Linked DNA regions of Bombyx mori. The main gene of each other region encodes a partner of the protein of the gene in region 5 in a complex. Links are inferred from orthologs where the notes say so. Each region holds a gene or a part of one and is shown on either strand. Other genes may lie near its edges. The genes, in order: armadillo repeat-containing protein 7, small nuclear ribonucleoprotein Sm D3, RING-type E3 ubiquitin-protein ligase PPIL2, pre-mRNA-splicing factor CWC22 homolog, pre-mRNA-splicing factor ATP-dependent RNA helicase DHX16, U5 small nuclear ribonucleoprotein 40 kDa protein and E3 ubiquitin-protein ligase RNF113A.

Region 1 (4,129 bases), on a different chromosome or scaffold from region 5:
ATTTTATCACCAGCTTTAAAAGCTGTGTTGCTGAAGGATGTGGTATGAATCTTGCATATTTTTTGATAATTTTTATTGTTCACAATAATATAGGGGAATCTATTCGAGAGCATCTTGTTCATTATGAAGTTCGTTTATGTAACTATTCAGGTGGTCTTACACACATTTTGTAGAAAAACTGTAGCTAAATTGACGATCCTCAAATCCTGCGTAGTTTTCAAATTTGACATCATATTTATAACGTCTTGATCAGTTATTTCAGTTTTTGTTTTCTCATTGTACATATATATCAATGTCGTTATTGTATCAGCTACAGTGTCTGTATCACTTGACTTCAATAATCGAAACAAAGGTTTTAATCCCAAGTGAGTTAAAATATAGTCTGCATTCAGTGGATCTGAAAAGTGATAATTCTTACATAAACATGTGAAATGTGAAATAGCAATATGATTTTATATAGTGTCAAATTTTTAAAGATGATTCTAGCGTTTTTCTAAATTTGGGATTTTACATTGCTTAGATGGGTGGACGAGCTCACAGCCCACCTGAAGTTAAGTGGTTGCCGGAGCTCATAGACATCTACAACGTAAATGCCACCACCCACCTTGTAATGAGTTCTAAGGTCTCAGTATAGTTACAATGGCTGCCTCACCCTTCAAACCGAAACGCATTACTGCTTCACGGCTGAAATAGGCAAGGTGGTAGTACCTACCCGTGCGGACTCACAATAGGTACCAGTAATTACGCAAATTATAATTTTGTGGGTTTCATTTTTATTAAGCGATGTTATTTCTTCACTGTGGAAGTCAATCGTCAACATTTGTTAAGTACGTATTTCATTAGAAAATTTGGTACCCGCCAGATACCCGCCAGATACCCGCCGGATTCGAACACCAATGCATCGCAAGATACGCATGCACCAAACGGAGTATCCTTTAGACCACAACGACTTCAAAATGTTTGATTCAAAATGACTGATAAATCTTTAGTATTACTAATTTCTTTTTTAGCAATAATTTATTTCGGGTCTATTGCTATTCTATTGCTAGTCTATTCCTGCGGGATCTTCCCGGGGATTGGATCCCGTCCTATTGTCAGGACGGGTACCGGCGACGGCGAGCCTGCGGCGCGCATTGTGCGGTACCGTAGGTTTCGTGGAGTCGGAGTAGTGGAGCTCGATGGGGTTTAGTCGGTAGTCGGGTCTATTGCTATTTTATTAATGCATTTGCTATTTTATTCTTTCTTAATGAAAATATTATTGAGAATCAGAATCAAATTTTTTTTACTTTTTAATTACTACTTTCCTTACTCTTCTAATTATTATCTTGAATACTGTCAGTAGTGTGGTGGCAGCATGTGTTGGTACTACTGTCAGATATAACATTAATAAACCATTTCAGTCTAATGGGCTTAAGACTTTCCAATATAATAAAGAGAGTTCCAATTTAATGGTATGTAGGGACAGTTACACAATATTGAGGGGAAAATGGCTATTTGGTATAAGCAGCATTGCACTTAAAACATTTACAAGAAAACGGTGCAAGCTCACTACATATTATTGGGCACTTTCAATTTTAATTTACTTTAAAATGCACTAAATCACATCTTATCAACACTCACAAATATTCAAATAGTTCAAGTATTTAATTAAATTTAAATAGAGCTACTTTGATAATCTTAAATAAATTATTGTACATAATAATATAAAGAATACTTTTATTGAACAGGTTCTTTCTTATAAGAGTTTTCATAAAAAAATTGACAGTTTAATTGAACTTATAATAATTTGAGAAAACTATTCATCTATTGTTATCAACAGCTTACCTAAACACAAATTGCAGACACCCGCAATGGCATACCTTATTAATCTACCAATAGTTTCATTCTTCAGCACATACAAGAATATATCTAGTACTCCAACGTCTCTAATGTATGAGTAGTTCACAGGATCATATGCAAAATTTGCCAAATTGGCTAAAACTTGCAACTTTGCTTCTGTAAGGAAAAATAACATTAACAAATTGCAGTGCCATGGAGAGAGCCGTGGAGAGACAGAGATAGAGAGAGATAGATTACTTTACTACACACCAAAACACAATCATCATTGTGTCACACAATCATCTCTTCTAAACAACCTTTTTTATCTAGAGAAATTGTGAAAAAGATCCAACAGGTATGTTATTAATTATTCAGAAACAGAGCAAACCTTCATGCACATTACTTAATAATGAAGAAAAAAAACTAATGTATGATACAATAAATATAAATATAAAATATAAATATTAAAATCACTATAATCATATCCCATAAGTCACATACACAATTTAATTTTATTAAAACGAAAAATACCATTATCCAAACGCAATAGGGCTAGCTGTACTGTGAGTACTCTTTAGCATTAAGGTCGCCCTTGTTTATGCAATAGTTTTCTAACTATCTAAGATTTTTAAAAGTAAAAACTTTAATGGCAATTGTGAAAGTTCATACGTAAATCGCATTAAAATTAATTAAATAGATATTGCATGTATATTTTATTACCATAGGAACTTGAGTGTAAATATTCGTCGACTAATAATGACAAATATGCCTCGCGATCAGTACCATCTTTTGGGGTACGTTTTTGTAAGTGTGCTCTTGAACTGAACATTAAATTATAGTAACTTAAAAGGCTATAGAAAAAATCCTACTTTGACTGGACCACTTTCATTAAAGTAAATACACATTCCTTATTTTTCCTTTGATTCAATAATTCAATTGACACGCCATGACAGTTTTCTCTGTTGTTTTTGACATTTGACAGGTGGCACAATGACATGCGGAAGGGAACATTTTATCTACCATGACATGGGGTAAATTGGGATCCTGGGGTAAATTGGGACAAACCTGCGGAAGATTCTCAAAGTACCTGTAGCACGGAATCTACCTAATTTTGTTTATGTTAATATTTGTCAATGTATAGAAGAAAAACCAAGTTAACTATAGAAGTACTAAATATGAGTTAAGTTGGTCCCAAAAATTCGTCAAATTAAATTGAAAATAGTGGTTGAAAAGTGCGTTTTAAAACAGCTTAAAGAACTTTTAAAAAAAGTAATATTATCGTTGTTTTTTCAATAAGATCACAGTTTATATAAGTTTTTAATACACCTGGAAATACCACAACAAACGGTAAGTTGCAATATTCTTATTTTAAATACAATATTTCGACAAAATAAAAAATGTATATTTTTTCTTTCCTTTTTGGGGAAAATTGGGACGTTTGTAGGGTAATTTGGAACGAGACTGGAAAAATTAGGGACGAGAAAACACAAAATTGGAACGCCAAAAGACAAAATAGGGATGGCTTGTTAGGGTTGTCACTGATATCTTATAATAGATTTTTTAGCCTATACTATCACTTAATTGCGTGATGTAAAGAAGGTTAATATGTTTATCAGTTAGTTTATGTAAGTATTATAGGTAAAAGAAAAGTATATATATAATTACTTTTTTTTCGCGACATTTACCTTGTAACATCTGCCCGGTCGTATGTTCTTTATAGCAATAAAAAAAAAAAAAAGTTAAAAGAACTCAAACGAATCAAAACTTTTGTTATTTCATAATCTATTCACGCGTCGAATCATGATTTTGTTAACATTCACAACGCACACACAAATAAAAACAGGCCTCAGATTTTAAATGTAACATTAATTAAAAATCCGAGATATCCAATTATGAGTGAGTGAATTAATTGAGTTTAGTTATTTCGCTTAGAAAGAATTTCTTTTATTTTTGTTATTATTGGCAGTAATCAGATAAAGCCGGTTTTTTATCTTATTCACCTGATATCTTACTCTTGCTCAAAGATTATTTTGAAAATGTTGATTAAATAAAATTGTATTATTGCATTTCCAGTCCTTTTGTTTTCTATTTTTTATTCTATTTTATGATTTTGTTTCAGAGTTGTGATTTTTAAGGAAATTAAATAATAATTTTCTAAAATATAACATGCACATACTTTTTTTGATCATTGTATTGTTGATTATCATTCACGTCACATCGCTTCAGAATAGAAACCAGCTTAATTTACACTATGTTGTGTATTGTGCTTAAATTATGGATTGTATTCATCATTTCGGTCCATATAAATAAT
Region 2 (4,074 bases), on a different chromosome or scaffold from region 5:
CTGAGGTGCTGATGTGCAGTGTGAGCTTGTATGGTTAGACACCACTGTCCTGTGCGTCTGTACAGTGAAGCCGTCATGACTTCTATTATTATACTATCTCAGAAGCAGTAGTGGCCAGTGGAATTTGACTAATAATAATTATAGTTAGTTGACACTGCGTGTCTCATAAATAAAAACACTAGTTATTATCCAAATTGTTTTTTATTTGTTTTCAATCTTTTGATATTCACACCCACAACGACACATCCTATCACATATCTGCTGACAGTCTCAGTAAACTTGTTACACTGTTTGTAACTAATCTAAATTCGAACATAAAACATTCAAATTAAAAATATTTTGCATAAGAGGTTGTCGTGTCCTAAAGGATAAGATGCCGAGTTACACACATTTAACAAACATGCATGATTGTTGCAGGTTTTATGCTGCGAAGCATTCCAATTTGCCCATTAAGACAGCATTTATCCCAAACAGTACAACTGGGACTTTGATCTCAAACCTCATGGTAGGTGCAGGCCTTCATAAAGTCTATAGGCTCCAGTTACAGTGCAAAAAAATTCAAAATTATATGGATAAAACATTGTCAAAACTCGGCCATTGGTTAAGTTTGGTTTGTACAAGGCAGTTTATAATAACTTTTTATATTTAATTACAATAGTCACCCCCGCATAAACCACACATAGATATTTCCTCAAGCCAAAACAAGATTGAACTATTACCCATCATATGGACAAGATTTCTAGATTATTGGGACTGATATAAGGATAGAACATAGAGATTAAACATTGTATTGATTGGGAGTCACAATAAGTCACCATAGGGTAGCATCAGTGTGTAGTGTCTATTTGATCAAATGGTCCATGAGACCTAAGATGTGTAAAGCAGATTGAAGGGTGACCAAAATAAAAAAACAGAAAATCTGGAACAGGACCTTATTGTTACATTTGAGAACATAATAATAATCTTTGAACAAACAGTTGTTCTATTTCCAAAATTTGTATTTTTCTCACTTAGATATATCAATATATAAGAATGATAATGAAATAATTCCTTGACAATTGAAATATAAGACAAGTACAACTTAAGCTATCTAAAAAATATCTTAACGCTAGCGTCGAGATGGTCCTGACCCACCTTGCCAGCCTCCACGGTGGCCCCCACCTCTTCCACCTGCTCGTCCTCGACCAGCAGCTGAAAATTTCAAAGATTTGTATTTTACTTCTTGATTCCTCTAGATGTGTGAGTAAGCTTACAACCCACTTGATTAATGATTTACTGTGGCCCACAAACATCAAAATAAGGATGCTGGTTGGCATGATACTTGAGATGAGTATGAAGAGATACATATATTTGATCGCTCAAATGTATTGTAGTTACTGTCCAGCCCGTCAAATCAATTCACATTCCTGTTTAGCAACAGAAATTTGCCGTAATTATTTAAATACACAAGAATGGGTTTTCACAAATGTAATAGATACAGTTATTAGTTTGCATAACATTATGTAAAATAGGTTTTACTTTAGATGTGTGAGATTGTGTGCATTAGGTACTTGACATGGTCTCATCATTCACATATTTTCTTTAACCACCCAAAGTAAAATTGTCAATAACATATAGTTGAATGATTAGAAACAATTAACATTGGAACAAAATACTGATTTGATATTACAAAACTTAAAATTGCAAATTTGACATTGTATGTCTATATAAGCACTCAAGAATGAAAAATTGTAAAATATTCTCAATTACTATTAAAAAACTGTGACAAAAAATATCTATACAGGATATAAACAAACAAGACATTTAAAAAATCAAAGCTTCAAACTACCTATTTTTTGCTCATTTGACCCAATTGATCACTATGTATTCAATGCATTTGTACTAATTTTAATGAAGGCTATTTATTGATTGTAATTAAATGTGCTTATCTTTCATACTTGCATACGTTTTCTACTTAGAAATTTTCGTTTAATAATTTGGTTATATAGTGCAGTAATTGTTAAATAGACTTCACTCAAGTCTAATTTATAACAAGCCTAAAGAAATGGGTTGTTCTAAGCTAAAGATGTTTATTCTTTTTTAAGTCTTTGAATTAAACGAAATTAAGAACAATGCATATTCACAATTTCAGTGCTAGATGTAATTAGACTGCAAGTCAGACAGCACTCATTCATATATTAACACTCGTATGTTGTCTTGTTGATAATGAACACAATCACTACGTATGTGATGCGAGAGAACATTTAGGATACCTAGCTCGATAAACAAATCACATACACACTATTTTTATATTGTTCAATACCTTGGGCTCGCAGTATCGCACTCTTCCCTCGTCCTGCAGTAGGTTTATTCCCTTGTCTTTTGAACATTGGCGCGTTCTTCAACATGTCCGGTAATATTAAAAATCTGATCTTGGAACCACGGATGTACACATTCTCGAGCTGTGCAACTCGGCCATCTCTGTATGTGACTGTTACGAGAGTCATTTGGCAATTCATATTATCCTCAGCTTCAATTAATTTCCCTCTATAAACTTCACCGGTATTTGTTTCACAAGTCACTACATGACCTTCCGCCTCGTGAAGTACTTTAATAGGCACACCGATAGACATGTTTACGTTTTAGTTAAGAAAAACGTACGATAAAGGACAATAATTCAGTATTATTTCTTAGATTATTTACGATAAAAATGGGAAAGAATATTTCAAAAAAATTAGACGCTTCAAATCCATAGACATCTAATGTAATATGGCGGCGAGTTCCGTGCATAGACAATAGACATTTTTATTCATTCATTGACAGACAAAGACAACATAACCCATATTACCAAAAATCCATTATGATTTTTAATTCCCTTAGCATTGTGAAAATCAACTTTACTGGTGGTAGGAATGGTAGGATGTCTGCGAGTCCACAGAGGCAGACAACACTACCCTACCTATTCCTGCCGTAAAGTAGTACTACCTTTCGGTTTGAAAATGCAAGAGCATCGCAGGGTATAACTATTGAGATTTTGCAAAAAGTTAAATGTAATCTTAGTTAATTCCAACCATTTTTCTAAATAAATTACATTTCACTGTACATAGCCTAATAGACCTAGTTTCATTTGTAAAAAAAGCTAGGTGCTTAGGCTTTATGCTTGGGGTAGCAAGGGGGCGTGTAAATAGCCCTCCTGCGGCGGGAGCATATAAAGCGGGGTTGTAGAAAGGCGTGTAAATAGCCGTCCTAAGCGGTATGTGACAAATGTTTGTCACTTATAATTAGCGGAGCGGTAAAACTATATAGCGGTAAACAAAAGCTAGTAATCAAACTAAAGATATAAATTAAATACACATAAGCGAGCGGGCGGGCGAATGATTACACGAAGCAGCAATAAAATGGCAATAAATTAAAAGAACTTGCACTCACCTGTAGATCTTGCCAGTGACTGTCGTGCGGGCGTCGGCGATGGAAGCACGCGGGCGGCGGGAGGGGGTGACGAAGCTCACGTAGCTTTTCGTAAGCTCAAGCACCACACAATATACAAGTGCCGCCATCTAGGCAGCTAGCGGTAAAGCGTGATCGATCGGGTAGAACCACGCTTTGGGTAGTCGCGGTAATTAGTTACTGACAAACTCCAAAGGTGGCGCCATCCCAATAATTCATTAGCATCCCATTACTAAATCCGCGTGACCATCCTGCCCGCCTTGAAAGTTCGCAGGACTTTCAACAAATATATAAAGATACTAAGATAGGAAGCATAAAGCTTAAATAGCGGGAAGTTATTTGAAAAGAAACAAATTTTAATTAATAATAAGCCATCATGAATGTTTACGAGTAGAGTTGAAGCGGTTGATGACATGCGGTACTCTAATTTATTCTAGCGGTAGCGGATATAATTTTACAACTGGACGTTTAAGAAATCCAGATTTCGTTTTTACCAAAGCAACGCGTATAATGTTATCGGCACCTGGATACACCTCTTGTATAACTCCAAGTGGCCAGCGGAGCGGTGGAATGTCATCTTGATGAATAAGAACTACTGTCCCAACCTTCACGGGGTTATCTGATGTACACCACTTCTGTCTGACTTGC
Region 3 (2,602 bases), on a different chromosome or scaffold from region 5:
CAGTCTTGGTTGGAAACGAACGTTTCGGACTCGAACTTGACAGCTGAAGACTGGCCGTCGTCTAGTCCCTATCTTAATCTGCTGGATTATAATTTATGGTCAGTTTTAGAGAGTACGGCTTGCTCTAAACGCCATGATAATTTGGAGTCCCTAAAACAATCCGTACGATTGACAGTGAAAAATTTTCCCATGGAAAGAGTGTGTGCTTCTATTGATAACTGGCCTCAACGTTCAAAGGACTGTATTGCAGCCAATGGAGACCACTTCGAATAATCTTTTAATACTTTAAATTGTTTTATATTTATGTTTTAAACTAACACACTGTAAAAGTAATAAACGTTTTTGCAATAGATTTTTTTTTTCCCTTTGTCTCAGTATTTATGGCAAGACTAGGTAAACTCACAGTCTTGAGTAGAACCAAAGCACTGGTCTTCTTCACGTTCTTGTATTTATTTAATTTTCAAATAGTGAAGTTTTGAGAATAGTAATTTTATTTATTGTTTTAGAAAATTCATACAACACGAAACTACAATTTCAAAAAAGCAACTCTGTCCCAGTCCTAAAAGCTTCAGTTCATTTATAGTTATTAAAAATACATCTAGTACTTACAATTGTGATCCGTTAGTATTGGTTCCCGAGTTAGCCATAGACAAGACTCCTCGTCCGGTGTGGTGCAAGTTTGGCTTAATTTCATCATCAAAAGGTTTCTTCCAAATGGATTCGCCTCCCAACCCTGTGCCCGTTGGATCTCCTCCTTGAATCTATATATATAAAAATGAATTGCTGGTCGTTAGTCTCGCTAAAACTCGAGAACAGCTGGACCGATTTGGCTAATTTTGGTCTTGAATTGAATGAAGGTTTAAAAGGTAGATAAATATGAAAATGCTCGGAATTAAATAAAAATAACAATTTTGTTTTCCCTTTGAGTTTATTTTTTACAAAAGTTTAGGTTTTTTGTTTATCGAGGCACTAAGAAGTCGGCCGCGTCAGCTAGTTTAATAAAAAAATCATATATTTTAAACAGGTAAGTTGTCTAATCGCCAGACGAACTTCACGGTCCATCTGGTAATAGACAGTTATAGACAGTCTAAAACTAAACGCCTCTGGCATGATTGCTTTGTGTTAAAAATAGACAGAAAAGTGAGACCATAGGTCATAGGTTCTGTATCCTCTTATCACCTGTTTATCCCAAAAACCATATTGCAGATATAGTAAGTAGTTCTGAGCTTACAATAGAATTACTCTAGACACACATCTGTCTCTAATTCAATTTGTTTGTTCATTGATAGTTTTCATTAAAATAATAAAGCTAGCTGTCCCAGACCAACTTTTTTTTCAAAATGAAGGATTACTGGTGGCCTTTCCATTGTCACCAGGACAGGTGGGCGAGCAAAGGCTCAGTCAGGAGGCCATATCGAGAGGTGTAAGGCTATTTGGTTTAAGCGATATTTCGCTTTATACGCAATGCAATAATAATGTTGTATCTATTATAAAAGCGTTGCAGAGATAACACAAAGGCAGTCAGTAATCGCATCTACTCGAAGCGAAACAGCGAACGGATCACCTGAAGCGAAGCGGAAGAAGTGAATTAAGAACTTTAATGTTGTGGTTTTTTTTTTGCTTGGATTGGTGGACGAGCTCACAGCCCACCCGTTGTTAAGTGGTTATATGCGTTAATACAGTTTTAAATTGTACTTCGGTAGAATTTTTAGTTATCCCGAATCCCAACGCGTAAAAATATTTTGTCCCAATTATAAACTTTAAACGGTCCTCCTGTAATGTAGCAAAAATGTCGCTTAAGCCCTTCGATCAACAATTGTACTATTGTTGATCGAAGCTTAAGCCAAATGGCCTTTCACCCCTCGATACGTAGTTTAATTAATCAAGATGTCAGACACTTTTTTTAGGACCTCTTGAGTCCACGTGGGAGACCACCACCCTGCCTATTTCTGCCGTGAAGCAGTTATGCGTTTCGGTTTGAAGGGTGGGGCAGCTGTTTTAACTATGTGGGCCTGCGGAAGAATTTCGATTCCCGCGGCCCCGCGTGCACGTGTGGTGAGGCACCAGGGTGGTTTTAGCCGGTAGGAGTCCAGCACGCCCCTCCGCCTTTCACCAGGCGGAGGCAATCCATGAGGATTTCTCCCCGAAAAAAAAAAGCTGTTGTTACTATACTTGAGACCTTAAACTTATATCTCAAGGTGGGTGGCGCATTTACGTTGTAGATGTCTATGGGCTCCAGTAACCACTTAGCACCAGGTGGGCTGTGAGCTCGTCCACCCATCTAAGCAATAAAAAAAGTTGAAGTTCTGCAAAGCAGAACTACCAGTCTTTTTACACTAGTCGTGGTATAAAACTCAACGCCACTTAATATTTTCATCAACTCACCATAAAATTCCTGATAGACCTGTGGAACTTTGTTCCGTTGTAGTATCCATTTTTACAATGTGTCATGAAGTTGTGACAAGTTTTGGGCGTTACGTCGCAGTACAATTCAAAGTTCAGATGTCCTACATTTGTTACCAGTCTTACATAACCTGAAACAAACATTGTCTGGTCTTAACAATCTTGCCCTTACATTACTCTTCATGAATTAAAGAGTGAT
Region 4 (4,181 bases), about 10 Mb from region 5:
TAATAAAGTTCGCAAGATTAAACCATAAAGATAGTTTTTGGTAAGCCGTAAACTTTGTTCACTGGTTCCGAAACCATCTCCTAACTCAAAAGAAAGGGTAAAGCTAGTATTAAATCACACCCATGAGCATAGCAATGTAGCAATTGTAGTTAAAATCAACATTCATTATTGTGAACCTCTCATAACAACTGTCATTGCTCTCAGCAATATATAATCGCTTGTCTGTGCCCTGAGCTATCCTTTCAAAGAGTTTCCACTGTCATTTGTCATATTTCCATTTGAAATTGAGGGTTTATTTATTATTATAAAACTAAAAAAACATCAAAACAAAGTAATACGAACGGATCTTGTAGACGGTCATTCAGTTTCTTTAGTCCCATGTATTCAGCCAGTTCTTGAAACAGAATCTTTATGTATATCCGACTAGAACTAGTTGTGTCTTCTTCGTTCAATTTAACACATTCCAAAGATTCCCAACTAATGGAATCTGTAAACAGCAGATGGGCGAAAAACTTGCTGACATTTCTGAGTCTATTCGTGTCCAACCTGTGTGCTGTTGAATATGAATCTTTGAAAATTTCCTCGAAAGGTCCGATGTATATTCTGTTGATGTTGCAAAACCTTTGGGCCAATAAGCCATAGAATTTCTCATATGTTCTCTGCTCAGCACAGCAGTCTAAGAACATGTGGCATAGTTCCACTTCTTGTCCTGGTTTCAGTTGCATCTTCATTAGTTTATGAGCACATTCTTCGAAATCTAAACTGGAGTTGATTGTCAGGTATATAGTGCGTCTCAGAGCCACTAAGTTTGTTTCTGTGTTATCAATAATAGTCATTTCTTTTTTTGGTTGTTCTTCATCTTCTTCATCAGATTCCTCACTACCGCTTTCTCCTGAACCATCTTCATCACCGGACTCAGCATCAGAACCAAGTATTTCCTTGCAAAGATTCTTGTACTTCTGTTCATTCTCTTCATACTTTTCATCAAATTTGAAAACATCTGAAGCATTTGGGAAAATTGTTATTTTTATTCTTTTATACTAATTTGCTTATTTTACATTTGTTTTAAATGGAGCATTAAGATAAATTGTTTATAACATTCAATAATGTTGGGCATAAATGAGTTAATACATACGATGGAAAATAAAAATAGGCTAAAATAATGGATATTGAATTCACTAACACAGAGTACTACTATCTTAAAACTTAAAGCAAAAAGTATATGAAAAAAAATTGAGATTGTTTAAGTTACATTTTTAAATAAGCTAAAAGCATTTTTATGTAAACTATATATAAAAATTTTTGATTAATCCTATTAAAAATTAAAACTTTACTCGTTTAGAGTGTTATATACACTCAAAACTTTTAGCATTTTAAGTGTTACAATAACTCTTGTGCATACCCTCAATAGCTATTAAATAACTTAGGGGAACAAATAATTCAATTGACAGACTGTACAGATAATCTACTTAAGTGTTTTATGGCTTATTTTTTTATGGATAGTTTAATAGAATATAACATACTCAGGATATCTTGAGGATCTGTAGCGTCATCCAGCATCAATAGATGTGTGAACTGTTCTTCTTCAGGCACGAGCTCCAACTCTTCAATCAGTGCCGGGTGGTCTTTGAACCCATCCTTCCAAACTTGGAACATTACTTCTATCATGTACTGAACTCTTTTGTCTAACTGACCTTCGTGCAAAATGTTCCTTAGCATCTCGAAAATTGCATTTACACCTTTAGATGATACTTCAGTCAATTTTTGGCCACATTCCTTTAAGAATGCTATGGCAACTTCAACTGAATCATCTGTTGGTGATTCAACTAGTAAAGTGAGAAGTTCTAAAGCCAGAATTTCATGTGCCACTCTCTGATTCACTAAATGTGCAATGAAAGATGCAGAGGAAATGCAAATTGACTTATCATTGCGTTTAAAACCTCTTTTGAATTGAATCACTAATCTTTTCAGTAACAACTCCCCGATATTAGGAAAACGTGAATTGACTGCTGATACTAGAGCCGCGTATACATTAGTGAATGTTGGCGAGGCTGCCTGGGCTTGAATAACAGAACGGCATAACAAACCTCGACCTCTGACAATGTTTTCTTTCAATAATTCCTTTATAATGATACCTATGTTACCGACATTAATTTTGTTGATGTGACCGTGAATTGACTTTTTGAGAGCTTCCCAGGCAAGTCTTTGGTAAGCTATCGAGGACTTATCCGTGATCTGCGCTTGCATCATCCTCAGTCTTGCTGGTGGAATGTATGCACCTCCTGTTCTAGTATTCAACATATCAGTATCTTTTGCGCGTCTTTCTGGCTTTGTAGAGGCATCTTTTTTTGTTTCTGGCTCTTTTTGTGTGTCTTTAACTCGTTTATCTTCCCTAGCCTTGTAATGAGGTGAGCGTGATTTGGAACGCCGGCGTTTACTTCTATACTCCCTATTCTGCTGTTCCTCAAGTGACTTAGATCTAGATCTAGCCCGTCTCGACCTTTTCGACCTACGCCTTTCATCATCTTCCTCGTATTTATCTTTCTTCTGCTTGGTGTTAGTCTTCTCCATTCTTATGATTTTTGTTTTGACACTACTAGACTACAATTGAACTTTTTATAAAAGAATTTAATACTGTATCTAGAACTCAATATTATTAAAACTATTCATTTTCAATATTATGTGTAAAATCATGAAATTTATTTCGATGAAAAAGTAGAACGTGCACTAAGTAAAATCCAGCTTGACCTTAATAAAACAGCCATTTTGTTTTGACATTTTTATTTTACTGTCATGTCAGTAGTAGTAGAGTAGTAGTAACTCCGTTTTCCAACTGAAAAGGTGAAGGTATCATACTATACGGCCTAATAAAGTAAAGTATTGTTTAAAAAAATTTAAATGAAGTTGTTTTTGCGACATTAATCAATTGAGATTTGAGATGACATTAAATGAAACGAAATGATATGAGATGAAATATAATATCAGTAAAATGGTGTTTATGTATTTGGACAAATTCAGTTAACTTTTTTAGATTATCCACTCTCGGCGCTGTTAGGTGCTAATTTAATGGATAATCCTAATGTTTGCAGCAAAGATTTTTTTTTCCTACCTAAGCTGATGTTCTAGAGAGATCATATCAGCGTCACCAGGCTAGTAGGTGAGCTCACGTTGCTCAAACCTGACGATGTTGCTAACACGAACCCTAGCAAGAGCAGTGCTGCGCAGAATCTACCACCGGATCGGAAACACGACCCACCGAAAAGATCTGGCGACAAACTCAGTGGGCTGTGTCTGTGGGTTAATTTATTCACCCAGTCCTTCGTCGCAAGCGAGGGGCTTGACGAGAACGATGACCGGTGCTTGGGGTACCTAAAAGCACCGTTAGTGGATCAGGAGGATCCGAGATGACGTATTTTGGGTGACGTCGAATGTTTACCATTTGGTCCGCAAGATCGGCAATGTAGTTATCGGCGGCCACGTTGAGAGGGTTCTCGTGTCGTCGGAGCCCATAGACACGTCATGATAATCGCCTTATCGTTGCCGCCGCTGATTACTCCCCGAATCCTGATCACGCAGGAGCAAGTCACCGTCGTCGCCCTAGACATGTCCTTACGGATCCATCAGATCCAATAACTCTTACATTAGATACCTTCAGCTCTAACACTAGGAGCAGGCTGAGGAACCCCGGTAACCGTACTCGTCGAACTCGACAAAGAGGTCGACGTGCAACCTAACCCATGCATCAGCTCGCTGAGTTTCTCACCGGATCTTCTCAGTGGGTCGCGATTCCGATCCGGTAGTAGATTCATTCGCGAAGCAATTGCTCTCGAGTTGTTAGGTCTCCTTCGGAGGCGCTCGGGTAGCTGTTAGCAAATCCCACCCCTCCTGGCTGAGCCTTTGCTCGCCCACCTGTCCTGGTGAAGCTGGAAAGGCCTCCGGGCCACCAGTAATCTTTCAATCATAAAAAAAAAACATTTACAACGTAAATGCGTCACCCACAAAGAAAAGCGGAAAGATTTCAAGAACAACGCCATAAGCAGCCACACTACAGCTATGCTCCGATAAGCACTGCCAGCATTGTAAGATGTGACGTCAATTTAATATACTGCGAAACTGTTCTTTTATAGTTAGCTATACTGGTCACTGTTTAAAACGGAACGTAATACAGTTTATTGTTATCG
Region 5 (3,500 bases):
GCATTTGGTTAAAACAAAATTAATAGTTTAAAATGTGTCATATCATTTGTCTTTATAGCCTAACAAAAAGAGAAAAAGAAGAAAGGGAACACAAGAAAACTTTATTACAATTAGCTAAAGAACATGAAAAAGCAAGAGAGTTAGAAAATGTTCAAAGATATCATATGCCTCGGGACTTGGGGAAAGGGGAAAAAGGTAATTATCCAAAATTACAAAGAAACCTTTCAAATGAAGAACTAAACAAAGCTTCAAACCTTAAGAGAAATTTAATTATGTAAAATATTTAATTATGTATTTCAAATTATGGGATGAAAAAAACTTAGCTGACGTTAATAAAATGAAGGTTTAAATTATGGACAAAAAGTTTTTCAAGCTATGAACAAAATTTCTGAAATATTTTCATTTTATTAATGATGTTGTTTGGTAAATCATATAGAGTTTAATTGTGAAGTTTCAAATATTCAGTTTGGTCTTAAATTTCTATATTGTTTATTTCTCATCCAATACTTTCATTTTAAAATTTCAAAATTTACAAATCAACAAAACAAAAGAAAATAATTAAAAAATTGTAATCAGTAATAAATTATTTGCTTGTACATCTTGTATATAACCTACTAATTGTATATTACAGGTGAATATGTTGAAGTTGATGAAAATGAGAGGTTGCCACATTCTGAACAGCAAAAATGGGAACAAGAACAAATTAAATCTGCTTTCTTTAAATTTGGTGCAAAAGATGCTAAAGCTACAAATGAATATGATTTATTACTGGATGAACAAATTGATTTCATACAGGCTCTTAAAATGGAAGGTTCTGAAGACAAAAAGGAAAAGTCAGAAATATCAGAATATCAAAAAATTCGAATGACCATTGAAGAAACAAAAAAATCACTTCCAATATATGCGTTTAAACAATCACTTATTGAAGCCATACAAAATTATCAAATTCTAATTGTAGAAGGTGAGACAGGATCTGGCAAAACAACACAAATACCTCAATATCTCCATGAAGCTGGTTTCACTAAAGATGGGAAAAAAATTGGGTGTACACAACCTAGGAGAGTAGCTGCTATGTCAGTTGCTGCAAGAGTTGCACAAGAAATGAACGTAAAACTGGGAAATGAAGTTGGTTATAGTATAAGATTTGAAGATTGCACATCTGATAGAACAGTAATAAAGTACATGACAGATGGAACTCTTCATAGAGAGTTTCTATCAGAACCTGATCTAGCCTCATACAGTGTAATGATCATTGATGAAGCTCATGAACGTACCTTACATACAGATATATTATTTGGTCTTGTAAAAGATATAACCAGATTTAGACCTGATTTAAAATTGCTTATATCCAGCGCAACATTGGATGCTGAGAAATTTTCAACATTCTTTGAAGATGCCCCAATTTTTAGAATCCCGGGAAGGAGATTTCCTGTGGACATCTATTACACAAAGGCACCCGAAGCAGATTATGTAGATGCTTGTGTTGTATCAGTATTACAGATTCATGCCACACAACCTCTTGGTGATATATTGGTTTTTTTAACAGGACAAGAAGAGATTGAAACATGTGTTGAAATGTTACAAGAAAGGACGAAGCGTATAGGCAAAAAACTGCGCGAGCTTTTAATATTACCAGTATATGCCAATTTGCCTAGTGACATGCAAGCTAAAATCTTTGAACAAACTCCTGAAGGAGCTAGAAAAGTCGTTCTTGCTACAAATATAGCTGAAACTTCATTGACAATTGATAATATTATATACGTAATAGACCCAGGTTTTGCCAAACAAAACAACTTCAATTCCAAGACTGGCATGGAAAGTTTAATTGTTGTTCCCATTTCTAAAGCATCAGCAAATCAACGAGCTGGACGAGCCGGAAGGGTTGCTCCTGGAAAATGTTTTAGATTGTACACAGCCTGGGCATATAAATATGAATTAGAAGATAATACTGTACCAGAAATTCAGAGAATAAATTTAGGAAATGCAGTTCTCACTTTAAAAGCTTTAGGCATCAATGATCTAATACATTTTGATTTTTTGGATCCACCACCGCATGAAACATTAGTTTTGGCTTTAGAACAACTTTACGCTCTGGGTGCACTTAATCATCATGGAGAGTTAACAAAAGCAGGCAGAAGGATGGCTGAATTTCCTACCGACCCCATGCTCGCGAAAATGTTGTTAGCTAGTGAAAAGTAAGTAATGTAAACATAAGTCATTCTCTCATAACTAACTTTCATAATGAAGGATTAACTTCTTCTTTTTCTGCATCTTACTATCAGCCAACAGCTCAACACTCACTACTCTCTCTCTCTCTCATATCGTCATTCACACACTCCATCCGTCTTCTTCGATCGACCTCTTTCCTCTCTACCTTGCACTACCAATTCCGTACATCTCCTAGTCACATGCATCTTCTCTCTACGCATCACACGTCCATACCACGCTAACTATCCGCTTTTTAATTTGTTAATTACCGGGGTTACTTTCATACTTCCTCTGATATACTTATTCCTCATCTTATCCATTCTTGTCACTCCACACATCTATCTCAACATTCGCATCTGGAATGAAGGATTTACATTGTGTAATAACCTGGTAAATTTTATAAATTTGTATAATGACTAGTGATAGAGCTGTTGTGGAGATATCGATAATTTTATTATAACTAATGTACAACACAATCAAATCAACAAAACTTTTATTCCACACTTTATACTACAGACTTACAGATTGTGGGTGAAGAAGTAGTTAGTAGCTGATAAATGCGAACGCGTCCACTCATACCCTCTAATTAAAAGCAGTTCAGATTGTCTCAAAATCACTTTAATTCTCACATTTTTCTTGTCTTACAGATATAAATGTTCTGAAGAGGTTGTCACAATTGCAGCAATGCTATCAGTAAATAGCTCCGTCTTCTACCGGCCTAAAGATAAAATAATCCATGCAGATACAGCAAGAAAAAATTTCTTTCATCACAAAGGAGATCATCTGACAATTATGAACTTATACAATCAGTGGGTTGCTTCAGATTATTCGGTGCAGTGGTGTTATGAAAACTTCGTGCAGTATAGATCGATGAAACGAGCTCGAGATGTTCGTGAACAATTAGTCAGCCTGATGGAAAGGGTAGAAATTGAAATGGTTACAAGTTTATCTGATGATACTAATATAAGAAAGGCTATAACGTCTGGTTATTTCTATCATATAGCAAAATTTTCAAAAGGTGGTCATTATAAAACTGTAAAACATAATCAGGTAACGAAACTTAAAATCTTGATAGTTAAAATAATGTTTTTTTCTTTTTCTTATAAATCTATCCAAATATATTTATTGCTTTCAGACAGTTATGATACATCCTAATAGTGCTCTATTTGAAGACCTTCCACGATGGGTGATTTACCATGAGCTTGTATTTACATCTAAAGAATTTATGAGACAAGTCACCGAAATTGAGAGCAAATGGCTACTGGAGGTAGCGCCTCATTATTACAAATCAA
Region 6 (3,960 bases), on a different chromosome or scaffold from region 5:
ACCAATCTAAGCAATAAAAAAAAAAAAATGCGTTCTCGTCTCTTTTAAAAGTTCATTACACAAACAAAGCGATCGGGGCTACACGTGAAAAAATTGTAACTTAAACAAATGATTTATAGCCGTCGTGACCTAAAGGATATGACGTTTGGTGCATTCGTATGTAGCGATGTAACGATGTTCGAATTGCGCAGGCAAGTGCCAATTTTTCTAATGAAATACGTACATATCAACTAAACTGACTTCCACGGTAAAGGAATAACATCGTGTAGTAAGAACAAAGCCCGCAAAATTATAATTTGCATAATTACTGATGGTAGGACGTCTTGTGAGTTTGCACGGATAGGTAGCACCACCCTGCCTATTTCTGCCATAAAGCAGTAATACGTTTCATTTCGAAGGCTGGGACAACCATTGAATTTTTGAGGAGGCAGTCTCCTCCCGGTGATGGTCACGGGGCCTCCCCCGGGCCAACTCCCTCACCTGAGGGGGTTGAGGCTGCGCCGCACGCTACCTACCATCACTCTAGCGCGCTGGCACAAGGAGGACGGGACAACACGTCAGCGACTACGGCCTGCAATGCGGTCCGCATTGTCGTCGTCACTATCGTCGCCGAACATACTGTGGAAGAGCAACGCGGTCGGAGGTGTATCGCGTTCTGACCCATCAGGCTGGTTTTGGCCAAGCAGAGTATCCCAGAACACCAGCGGCATCGCCCGGGCGGCCAGGTAGGGCCACCGTACCGCGGAGACCAGCGTCATTGGTCATCGACTACCGTCTCGACGACCCGTCGGTCAGGGGTCCTCGGAGGGGCGCCGCGTGTCTGGTTATAGTGTTGACCGCGGGAACCCCCCCTACATTGTCCGGATTCTGAGCCCGGACGGAGATCGGACGTTGGGTGTAAATGTGCAAGGGAGTCGTTTAGTGCGGTAGGGCCCTAAAACTCCTTGGGCCCGCGGTCTGCTCCCAAAACCTGCAGATCGTAAAGTTCCACATATCTCACGCCCTCTTAGGCGCGGGGACCTCTTAGAAGGATCGGCCCCGGGCCCGAAAAAAAACCATTGTACTTTAAAAACTGGGACATTAGAATTCAAATCTCAAGGTGCATGGCGGCATTTACATTGTAGATGACTATGGGCTCTAGTAAACACTTTAAGTTCTTCATTTTGAATGACTCATTATCTCATCTTCTCATCTGAATAGGTATACAAAAAAAAAACTTTTTAGAAGGTAGCTTTGTCTTTTGTTACAAAGAATTTGGCGATATTGGCTATTTTCCTTTTGCCTATACAATTGACAAATGAAACAAGCTAAACAGTCCTTATACCATTTTTAAGGTTAGTATTTCTGTTTGTAGCTATAAAAACAAATAGGTAAATAAACATCTTAAAAAATGCCAGATATAGAAACTAAAAGAAAAGCAGAGGATGTGTCTCTTGTACCCTCCAAGCGAGTACGGCATGAGATCTCAGTAGTCGGCACCAGAGAAAAGGCAGTTGTTACTTCATCTGTGAGTATTGTTTTCAATAAAGTTTACTTATTTTCTCAATAGTACGGTCTATAAAAGCTAAGAACTCTAACGCCACGGTGAAAGCATCAAGAGATCATAATTATAATTATTAGAAATGGAACATAACATCTAAAATAAACTTTTAGAAAAACACAATCTGTACTTAGGTAATCATGATTGATATTTGTTAAAATTTAAGGTAATACGAATTTTAGTCGGCTTTTACTTTAAGATTTATTTTTCAACATTTGTAGTGATCAACAAGATTCCAAGATTCCTGTGTTTTGTATTTTATATTCTTGTCGTTCTAGGTTCCACGAACATCAAACTTGTATGCGCCAATTATGTTGTTGGAAGGACACCAAGGAGAAATTTTCACAGGCAAATTTCATCCTGAAGGCAAACATTTGGCTTCTGCAGGCTTTGACAGACAAATATGTAAGTAACAAAATCATGACAAAGCTTTTGAATTGGCAAAGTGTTTCTAAAATTCACACTCTAATAATATACTACTATCAAAACGTTAATGAAGAATTGACACATTTGATAACACAAATTATAAGATTACAGTAGGTAGGTTTTAAATTTAATTGAAAAGAGTGAACAAGGTAAAATCTGACCTAGTGTATAAGTGATTATTGGAGACCATAGACATTATATTACAGCGTCTTAAATTTTCTCTGAAGTCCAAATCCATTTCAGTTTGATTTAATATGCATTATTAAGAATGACTGCCAGTACCAATATCCCAGGCATGGGCCACACTGTACTGGGGTTTTAGTGACACGAGCCCTATAATGTAGGGAACAATATGATACAATACTCAAAATGATAGCTGATATAAACTGTTTAGCTTAAGCCACCATTAATATAAAAAAATACAAAATAAATGTTTATACCATTGAAAATTTCCACCAATGTCAGGGTCATGTTGACAACTTATAAGCTGTACAAGTCCAACTTAGTAATATTATGATTTTTGATTTCTTATTTTCACAGTAATATGGAATGTGTATGGTCAATGCGAGAATGTGATGGTGATGAAAGGTCACACGGGAGCAATAATGCAGCTTTGCTTCTCACCTGATGGTTCACATTTGTACACTGGAGCTACGGACAATACTGTAGCAGTATGGGACGTACCCACCGGGACTAGAATCAAGAAGTTAAAGGGTCACGCTAACTTTGTGAACTCTGTTTCAGGTATGTTTCATAGTTTGAGTTTTGACACACAATGGTTTTCATGCTAGTGCTTTTTAGTAGTACAAATACACAACAGTAACTTAATTAAACATTACTTTGCACTCTCAGAGCCTTAAAGTGATTGGATCCAAATAAAGTGGGATTGACCTAAAATTGAAACTATAATCCGTAACCATGGTTTGAAACCAGATAACATCAATCTAAAATCTCAATGCCTGTGGATACAATAGAACTGTAAATTCATTCATGGCATCCATTAAAAAATTGGTTTAGACAACGTAACAATCTATTCTAACTTTCTCGTGTTATCTCTATATCCAGGAGCAAGAAGAGGTCCAGAACTCTTAGTTTCAGCTTCAGATGATAACACCATAAAATTATGGGATGCAAGGAAAAGGAATCCAGTTGCATCGTTTGACAGTTCATATCCAGTCACAAGTGTACTCTTCAATGATACAGCTGAAAAAATTTTATCCAGCGGTGTGGACAATGTCATCAAAATGTGGGATATAAGGAATAATCAGATTTCCTTGAAAATAAAAGGACATACAGACACGGTTACAGGTTGGTAATTCTTTATTGATTCTGATTAATTAGATTTTTATTAGGTGATAATACTGCAACCAGAAATTAAATTAAAATATTGATACAGTTTATCTAGAGTGGAGTGAGGGCAATATGATGACAGTAATGACTTCAGTCTATTAGTTAACTACTAAAATACTGATTACCATACAATGTATTTAACAAATATTGATCTTATGAGGAAATGAGAATGGATTGATTGGTATGCAGTACAGTAGTAGTAGTTGCATACATATGTATTTCTCTTTATAATCCCTGTTGTTACTTGTTGACGGGTGTATTGTAAACTTCTTCACCCATTCTGCCTTCGGTAGCCCAAACTGGTATTAGGTAATTTTAGAGAAATGTAACAGCTATTATTAGAATGTCTCTAGCCTTATAAGTAGTAATAATTCATGACTAAGACTACTTGTTTAGTTTACTTGTAGATCGTGAAGTCATCTACCCAGGTGCGGCAATAAATATGTGAATAGAAATCATATGAGTTTGATACATTTAATGACTGGCAATGTCTAACTTGTGTTGCAATACTCGTTTCCAGGATTATCATTGTCATGGGATGGTGCATATCTCCTGTCCAATTCAATGGATAATACACTCCGTATTTGGGACGTTAGACCGTTTGCACCAACAGAACGCTGTGTCAAATTAATGTCTGGCCACCA
Region 7 (4,065 bases), on a different chromosome or scaffold from region 5:
CCACGAAGTGTGCGATTTCAATACTGTTAAATGGATACCTGTAGTTCTCACATTTGCGCGTGGAGCCTTTTTTATGGAGAGGAATTAACATTGATTCCGTCCAGTCTTCAGGCCACTGGCCAGTACGCCATATTTTCTGGCAAATGGAGTGTAAAATCTTGGTACCATCCGAGCCTAGGCTCTTTAACATTAGAGCGGTTACGCTGTCCCTCCCGCATTCTCCCTCAGGCAACATTGGAGGAAGCTGGTGCAAAAACTGGACCAAGGTGGTCACGATCCTCAGTAATGAGGAAACGACAAAGAAGAAGAAGAAGAAGAAGAAATGGATACCTTATCATCTGCTTGTCCGTGCAACTCTTCATTGATCTTCTGAGCCTTCTCAAAGATGGCTTGGGCATCTCTATCCTTTTCTGTGTCTAATTCATAGGTAGCTGTTGCATTCTCTCTCTGTTGTTGAACCGATAGTGTTGTCCTTTGAGAAGTCTGAAAGAATTGTAAGCTTATGTTGATCTAAATGGATCTTAAAACGGTTTTTTTTTATGTTCAATACAGAAGACAAGACTTCAACATAAAGATGACGTGTAAAAAGATTAAAGAGATAAAAAGATGTGTGCCAGATTTAAGTAAAGATAAACTGCTCTAATTGTTGATAATATTGATTTCAGTGGAGATATAACTGAGACACTAACAAATATCTCAAGATGCATGGCGGCATTTACTTTGTAGATGTCTATGGGCTCCTGTAACCACTTAAGAACTTAAGGAATAAAAAAAGACAACCCGAAAGGCTGAAATGGCAGCAAGCAGGCTGTTGGAACCAAAAGTTCTCAAGTGGCTATTATATATCTAAATATGTATGAAGTATGTGAAGATTTGAAGTGTGGGTAGGCCTTCTACAAGATGGACCAACAGCCTGTTTATGATATCTTATATCTGGTGCTTCAAAGGTGCAGATCTCATTATAGATCAGATTATCAAATCTGATGATATCCAAGTGAGTTGATGATGATGATGAGCTGTTAATGTTACTATACCTTTTCTTCATCATTACTATCATCATTATCTTCAATTACATCAATTTTGGATTTCTTCGGACCTCCTGTAGACTGTATGTTTGGATTTGGTTTGTTCACCCTTTTCGTTGGTAGAACTACTTGTTGCTCATCAGAGTCCGAGCTGTTTTTCTCTGAAACGTTACTATATTAAATTATATATTAAGCAGCCGTCTGGTGTAGTGGTAAGTGACATGGTCACTACACAAGGGGGTCGCAGGTTCGAATCCCGCCAAGGGAAGATATTTGTATGATAAATATAAATGTCTTTCCAGGGTTATGGGTGTATATTAAATATATATATATATATATATATATATGTGTATAATAAAAATATTATATTTATTTCCGTTATCTGGTACTTGTAACACAAGTTCTTTACGAACTTAGCACGGGACCAGTTAACGTGGAGTGATTGTTAGTAAATATTTATATTTATAAAAAAAAAAAATATCAAGTATATATGAGGCTGTCAGCGCAAAAGTGGCCTAACCCACAATTTTTCATGCTTATAATCATGTATATTGCAATTTATTTAATATATAATAAATTTTTATGCAAAACCGGCCTATCCATAGTTTCACCCATAGAAAGCAGATGGCTTTGTAATCATTATTTTAGCGCATATTGTTTTTTTTGCCAACTCAAATTCAAATTCATGAAAACTAAAGCCTCATTGCTCCATAATAACTATAGTACGCTTAGGCTGCTTTTGCGCTGACGGCCTCATATGATAAAATATATATCGACACTTGAAAGGCAAACGTGACTAAGCGACAATGCGTGAACTTTACGGTAGACTAATTTAAAGTTGAAATACATGAAAACAAAATTTATTTTAACGAATCCAGTTGTAGTAGAAACTAGCTAGTAGCTGTAGGATTGAAATAATTTTAATAGACCTAGAAATATATATTTTTTGCGGATCGAATATGGTTATTGCCTATCATTTATGTGCAAAGCAGTTATTGTCGCTTAGTCACTTTTGCCTTTCAAGCGTCGATATATTTTTTTTATAATGGTAATCTGCCGATAGTTTCTGCCAGCAATTTCTGCCAGTGTCGTGTTATGGCTACATATGGAACATTGTCGAGCTATTTAAACACACTTTATATTATAAAAAGTATCCAATTTTGGCTATATTAATGGTGCCTGGGACTAACACAAAATTAATGTTACTACAAACTTACATATTATAATAAAGATTATGTACAGAGAATAATGCGCTACATATAATTATAATTTTATAGTTAGTAGTTATACACTTAATAAAAGCACTTATAATACGGGGGTCTGGGAACAGTGAGAAAGAGGATATGAAGAAGCGATGAGATAGTTTTAATGTACTATTCTTAGATGTCTTTCGTTTGGAGAATAATTTAATAACTTAACGATCAATATTACCTTCTGAACTGGAAGTTTTACGTTTTCTGCCACCCCTATTCTTAATATTACGTTTTTTAAAAGTACTGAGTACTTCCACTTCGGCGTCTGACATTTTGAACGATTGTTTATTCAACCTAGTGTGTGCTTACTACGATATTAGAGTAATATCTACATAATCATTAATGAGGACACAATAATACTAAATAAAAGTACTGTATTTCACTTTAGGACCTTCAAGTATTGTCGGTATTTATAGGGTTTTTAATTAATTTTTGCATTTCACAACATGATAATATTGGCAATGATCAAAATAATGCTCATTTTTAACATTGACATGTGATTGATTTTGACGGATAGTTGTTTTTTTAAACTATGATTTGTCTATTGAATGGAGGGAATACTGCCCATACAACATAGCTTAAACATTTATAGCAATGCCTGAAGTTAAATCAAAACTTAAATTAGCATATGGAATAATAAGGTTAAATAAGAGAAAGCCGTACATGTTGTATAAGATGAAATAAAATAGCCTGTCAGTAAATTAGCGGAGACTTATTGAGGCTTCTAGGCAATTTGGAAGGGACCCGAGCAGCCACACAGCCACATTGAGGAATTCTTTTTTTTTTCACACTTAAGCCCTTTCTACTACTACTGTTAAAAGTTGAAACCAGAGTTAAAACTCAAACATTGTAATGGACATAATAAACACTATTCTTATCACGATGTTCATGTCTCTTTTATAGTAATAATAAATAGATAAATTAATAAAGTCATTAGCTGCCTTGAAATAAAGTGGAAGTGGAATCATAATTTACCATACAAACTGGAAATATTGAATGCTAAAAGGTTTAGGGTGTAATTTTTTTTTTATTGCTTAGATGGATGGACGAGCTCACAGCGCACCTGATGTTCAGTGGTTACTGGAGCCCATAGACATCTACAACGTAAATGCGCCACCCATCTTGAGATATAAGTTCTAAGGTCTCAGTATAGTTACAACGGCTACCCCACGCTTCGAACCGAAACGCATTACTGCTTCACGGCGGAAATAGGCAGGGTGGTGGTATCTGCCCTTGCGGACTCACGAGAGGTTCTACCACCAGTGATTACGCAAATTATAATTTTGTGGGTTTGATTTTTAATACACGATGTTATTCCTTCCCCGTGGAAGACAATCGTGAACATTTGTTGAGTACGTATTTCATTAGAAAAATTGGTACCCGCCTGCGGGATTCGAACACCGGTGCATCGCTCAACACGAATGCACCGGACGATTTATCCTTTAGGGCACGACGACTTGATATTTTAAGGAATGCACAAAAAACTCAGTCTAGTTTTATCGATCCTTGTATTAAAACGTCACAGGTTACAGCGCTCACTGATTGCTTGTCACTTGTCAGGCTTAATATTGCCGTATTCTGCAACGCGGCCCCGTTTTGTATTTCTTAGATGACCGTTATGAGAAGTGCACATTTATGAAACACAATAAAAGAATGACATCGTGTAATAAAATGCAAACTGTAAAAATAATAATTGTGTATAGGTATTGTGTGCTCGCATAGATAAATTATTTTGTATACACCATTAATGGCTGCCACAAAAAACATTTAAGAATGATCACTAATTA

What was found.
Region 1: pre-mRNA-splicing factor ATP-dependent RNA helicase DHX16 (region 5) and armadillo repeat-containing protein 7 share a complex: the UniProt entries of both Homo sapiens proteins name them as parts of the minor spliceosome. The link is inferred for Bombyx mori from reciprocal best matches to the Homo sapiens genes DHX16 and ARMC7.
Region 2: pre-mRNA-splicing factor ATP-dependent RNA helicase DHX16 (region 5) and small nuclear ribonucleoprotein Sm D3 share a complex: the UniProt entries of both Homo sapiens proteins name them as parts of the minor spliceosome. The link is inferred for Bombyx mori from reciprocal best matches to the Homo sapiens genes DHX16 and SNRPD3.
Region 3: pre-mRNA-splicing factor ATP-dependent RNA helicase DHX16 (region 5) and RING-type E3 ubiquitin-protein ligase PPIL2 share a complex: the UniProt entries of both Homo sapiens proteins name them as parts of the minor spliceosome. The link is inferred for Bombyx mori from reciprocal best matches to the Homo sapiens genes DHX16 and PPIL2.
Region 4: pre-mRNA-splicing factor ATP-dependent RNA helicase DHX16 (region 5) and pre-mRNA-splicing factor CWC22 homolog share a complex: the UniProt entries of both Homo sapiens proteins name them as parts of the minor spliceosome. The link is inferred for Bombyx mori from reciprocal best matches to the Homo sapiens genes DHX16 and CWC22.
Region 6: pre-mRNA-splicing factor ATP-dependent RNA helicase DHX16 (region 5) and U5 small nuclear ribonucleoprotein 40 kDa protein share a complex: the UniProt entries of both Homo sapiens proteins name them as parts of the minor spliceosome. The link is inferred for Bombyx mori from reciprocal best matches to the Homo sapiens genes DHX16 and SNRNP40.
Region 7: pre-mRNA-splicing factor ATP-dependent RNA helicase DHX16 (region 5) and E3 ubiquitin-protein ligase RNF113A share a complex: the UniProt entries of both Homo sapiens proteins name them as parts of the minor spliceosome. The link is inferred for Bombyx mori from reciprocal best matches to the Homo sapiens genes DHX16 and RNF113A.

What each region holds. Positions count from the first base shown.
Region 1 is NC_085121.1:11,321,643-11,325,771, reverse strand, and holds the start of armadillo repeat-containing protein 7, read right to left. Parts: upstream 2,801-4,129; 5' UTR 2,648-2,800; coding exon 2,539-2,647; intron 1,996-2,538; coding exon 1,825-1,995; intron 398-1,824; coding exon 147-397; 3' UTR 1-146. UniProt on the Homo sapiens protein: As a component of the minor spliceosome, involved in the splicing of U12-type introns in pre-mRNAs.
Region 2 is NC_085122.1:328,611-332,684, forward strand, and holds small nuclear ribonucleoprotein Sm D3, read right to left. Parts: upstream 2,801-4,074; 5' UTR 2,613-2,800; coding exon 2,303-2,612; intron 1,192-2,302; coding exon 1,109-1,191; 3' UTR 183-1,108; downstream 1-182. UniProt on the Homo sapiens protein: Plays a role in pre-mRNA splicing as a core component of the spliceosomal U1, U2, U4 and U5 small nuclear ribonucleoproteins (snRNPs), the building blocks of the spliceosome.
Region 3 is NC_085116.1:14,595,389-14,597,990, reverse strand, and holds part of RING-type E3 ubiquitin-protein ligase PPIL2, read right to left. Parts: intron 2,535-2,602; coding exon 2,386-2,534; intron 762-2,385; coding exon 610-761; intron 1-609. UniProt on the Homo sapiens protein: Has a ubiquitin-protein ligase activity acting as an E3 ubiquitin protein ligase or as an ubiquitin-ubiquitin ligase promoting elongation of ubiquitin chains on substrates.
Region 4 is NC_085110.1:1,337,975-1,342,155, forward strand, and holds the start of pre-mRNA-splicing factor CWC22 homolog, read right to left. Parts: upstream 2,801-4,181; 5' UTR 2,572-2,800; coding exon 1,524-2,571; intron 1,001-1,523; coding exon 343-1,000; intron 1-342. UniProt on the Homo sapiens protein: Required for pre-mRNA splicing as component of the spliceosome. As a component of the minor spliceosome, involved in the splicing of U12-type introns in pre-mRNAs. Promotes exon-junction complex (EJC) assembly.
Region 5 is NC_085110.1:11,482,215-11,485,714, reverse strand, and holds part of pre-mRNA-splicing factor ATP-dependent RNA helicase DHX16, read left to right. Parts: intron 1-58; coding exon 59-195; intron 196-631; coding exon 632-2,195; intron 2,196-2,855; coding exon 2,856-3,258; intron 3,259-3,343; coding exon 3,344-3,500. UniProt on the Homo sapiens protein: Required for pre-mRNA splicing as a component of the spliceosome. Contributes to pre-mRNA splicing after spliceosome formation and prior to the first transesterification reaction.
Region 6 is NC_085109.1:1,115,071-1,119,030, forward strand, and holds the start of U5 small nuclear ribonucleoprotein 40 kDa protein, read left to right. Parts: upstream 1-1,160; 5' UTR 1,161-1,390; coding exon 1,391-1,507; intron 1,508-1,818; coding exon 1,819-1,945; intron 1,946-2,506; coding exon 2,507-2,710; intron 2,711-3,031; coding exon 3,032-3,274; exon of another isoform or gene 3,275-3,836; coding exon 3,837-3,960. UniProt on the Homo sapiens protein: Required for pre-mRNA splicing as component of the activated spliceosome. Component of the U5 small nuclear ribonucleoprotein (snRNP) complex and the U4/U6-U5 tri-snRNP complex, building blocks of the spliceosome.
Region 7 is NC_085108.1:7,585,954-7,590,018, reverse strand, and holds the start of E3 ubiquitin-protein ligase RNF113A, read right to left. Parts: upstream 2,801-4,065; 5' UTR 2,551-2,800; coding exon 2,457-2,550; intron 1,187-2,456; coding exon 1,035-1,186; intron 484-1,034; coding exon 331-483; intron 1-330. UniProt on the Homo sapiens protein: Required for pre-mRNA splicing as component of the spliceosome. As a component of the minor spliceosome, involved in the splicing of U12-type introns in pre-mRNAs. E3 ubiquitin-protein ligase that catalyzes the transfer of ubiquitin onto target proteins.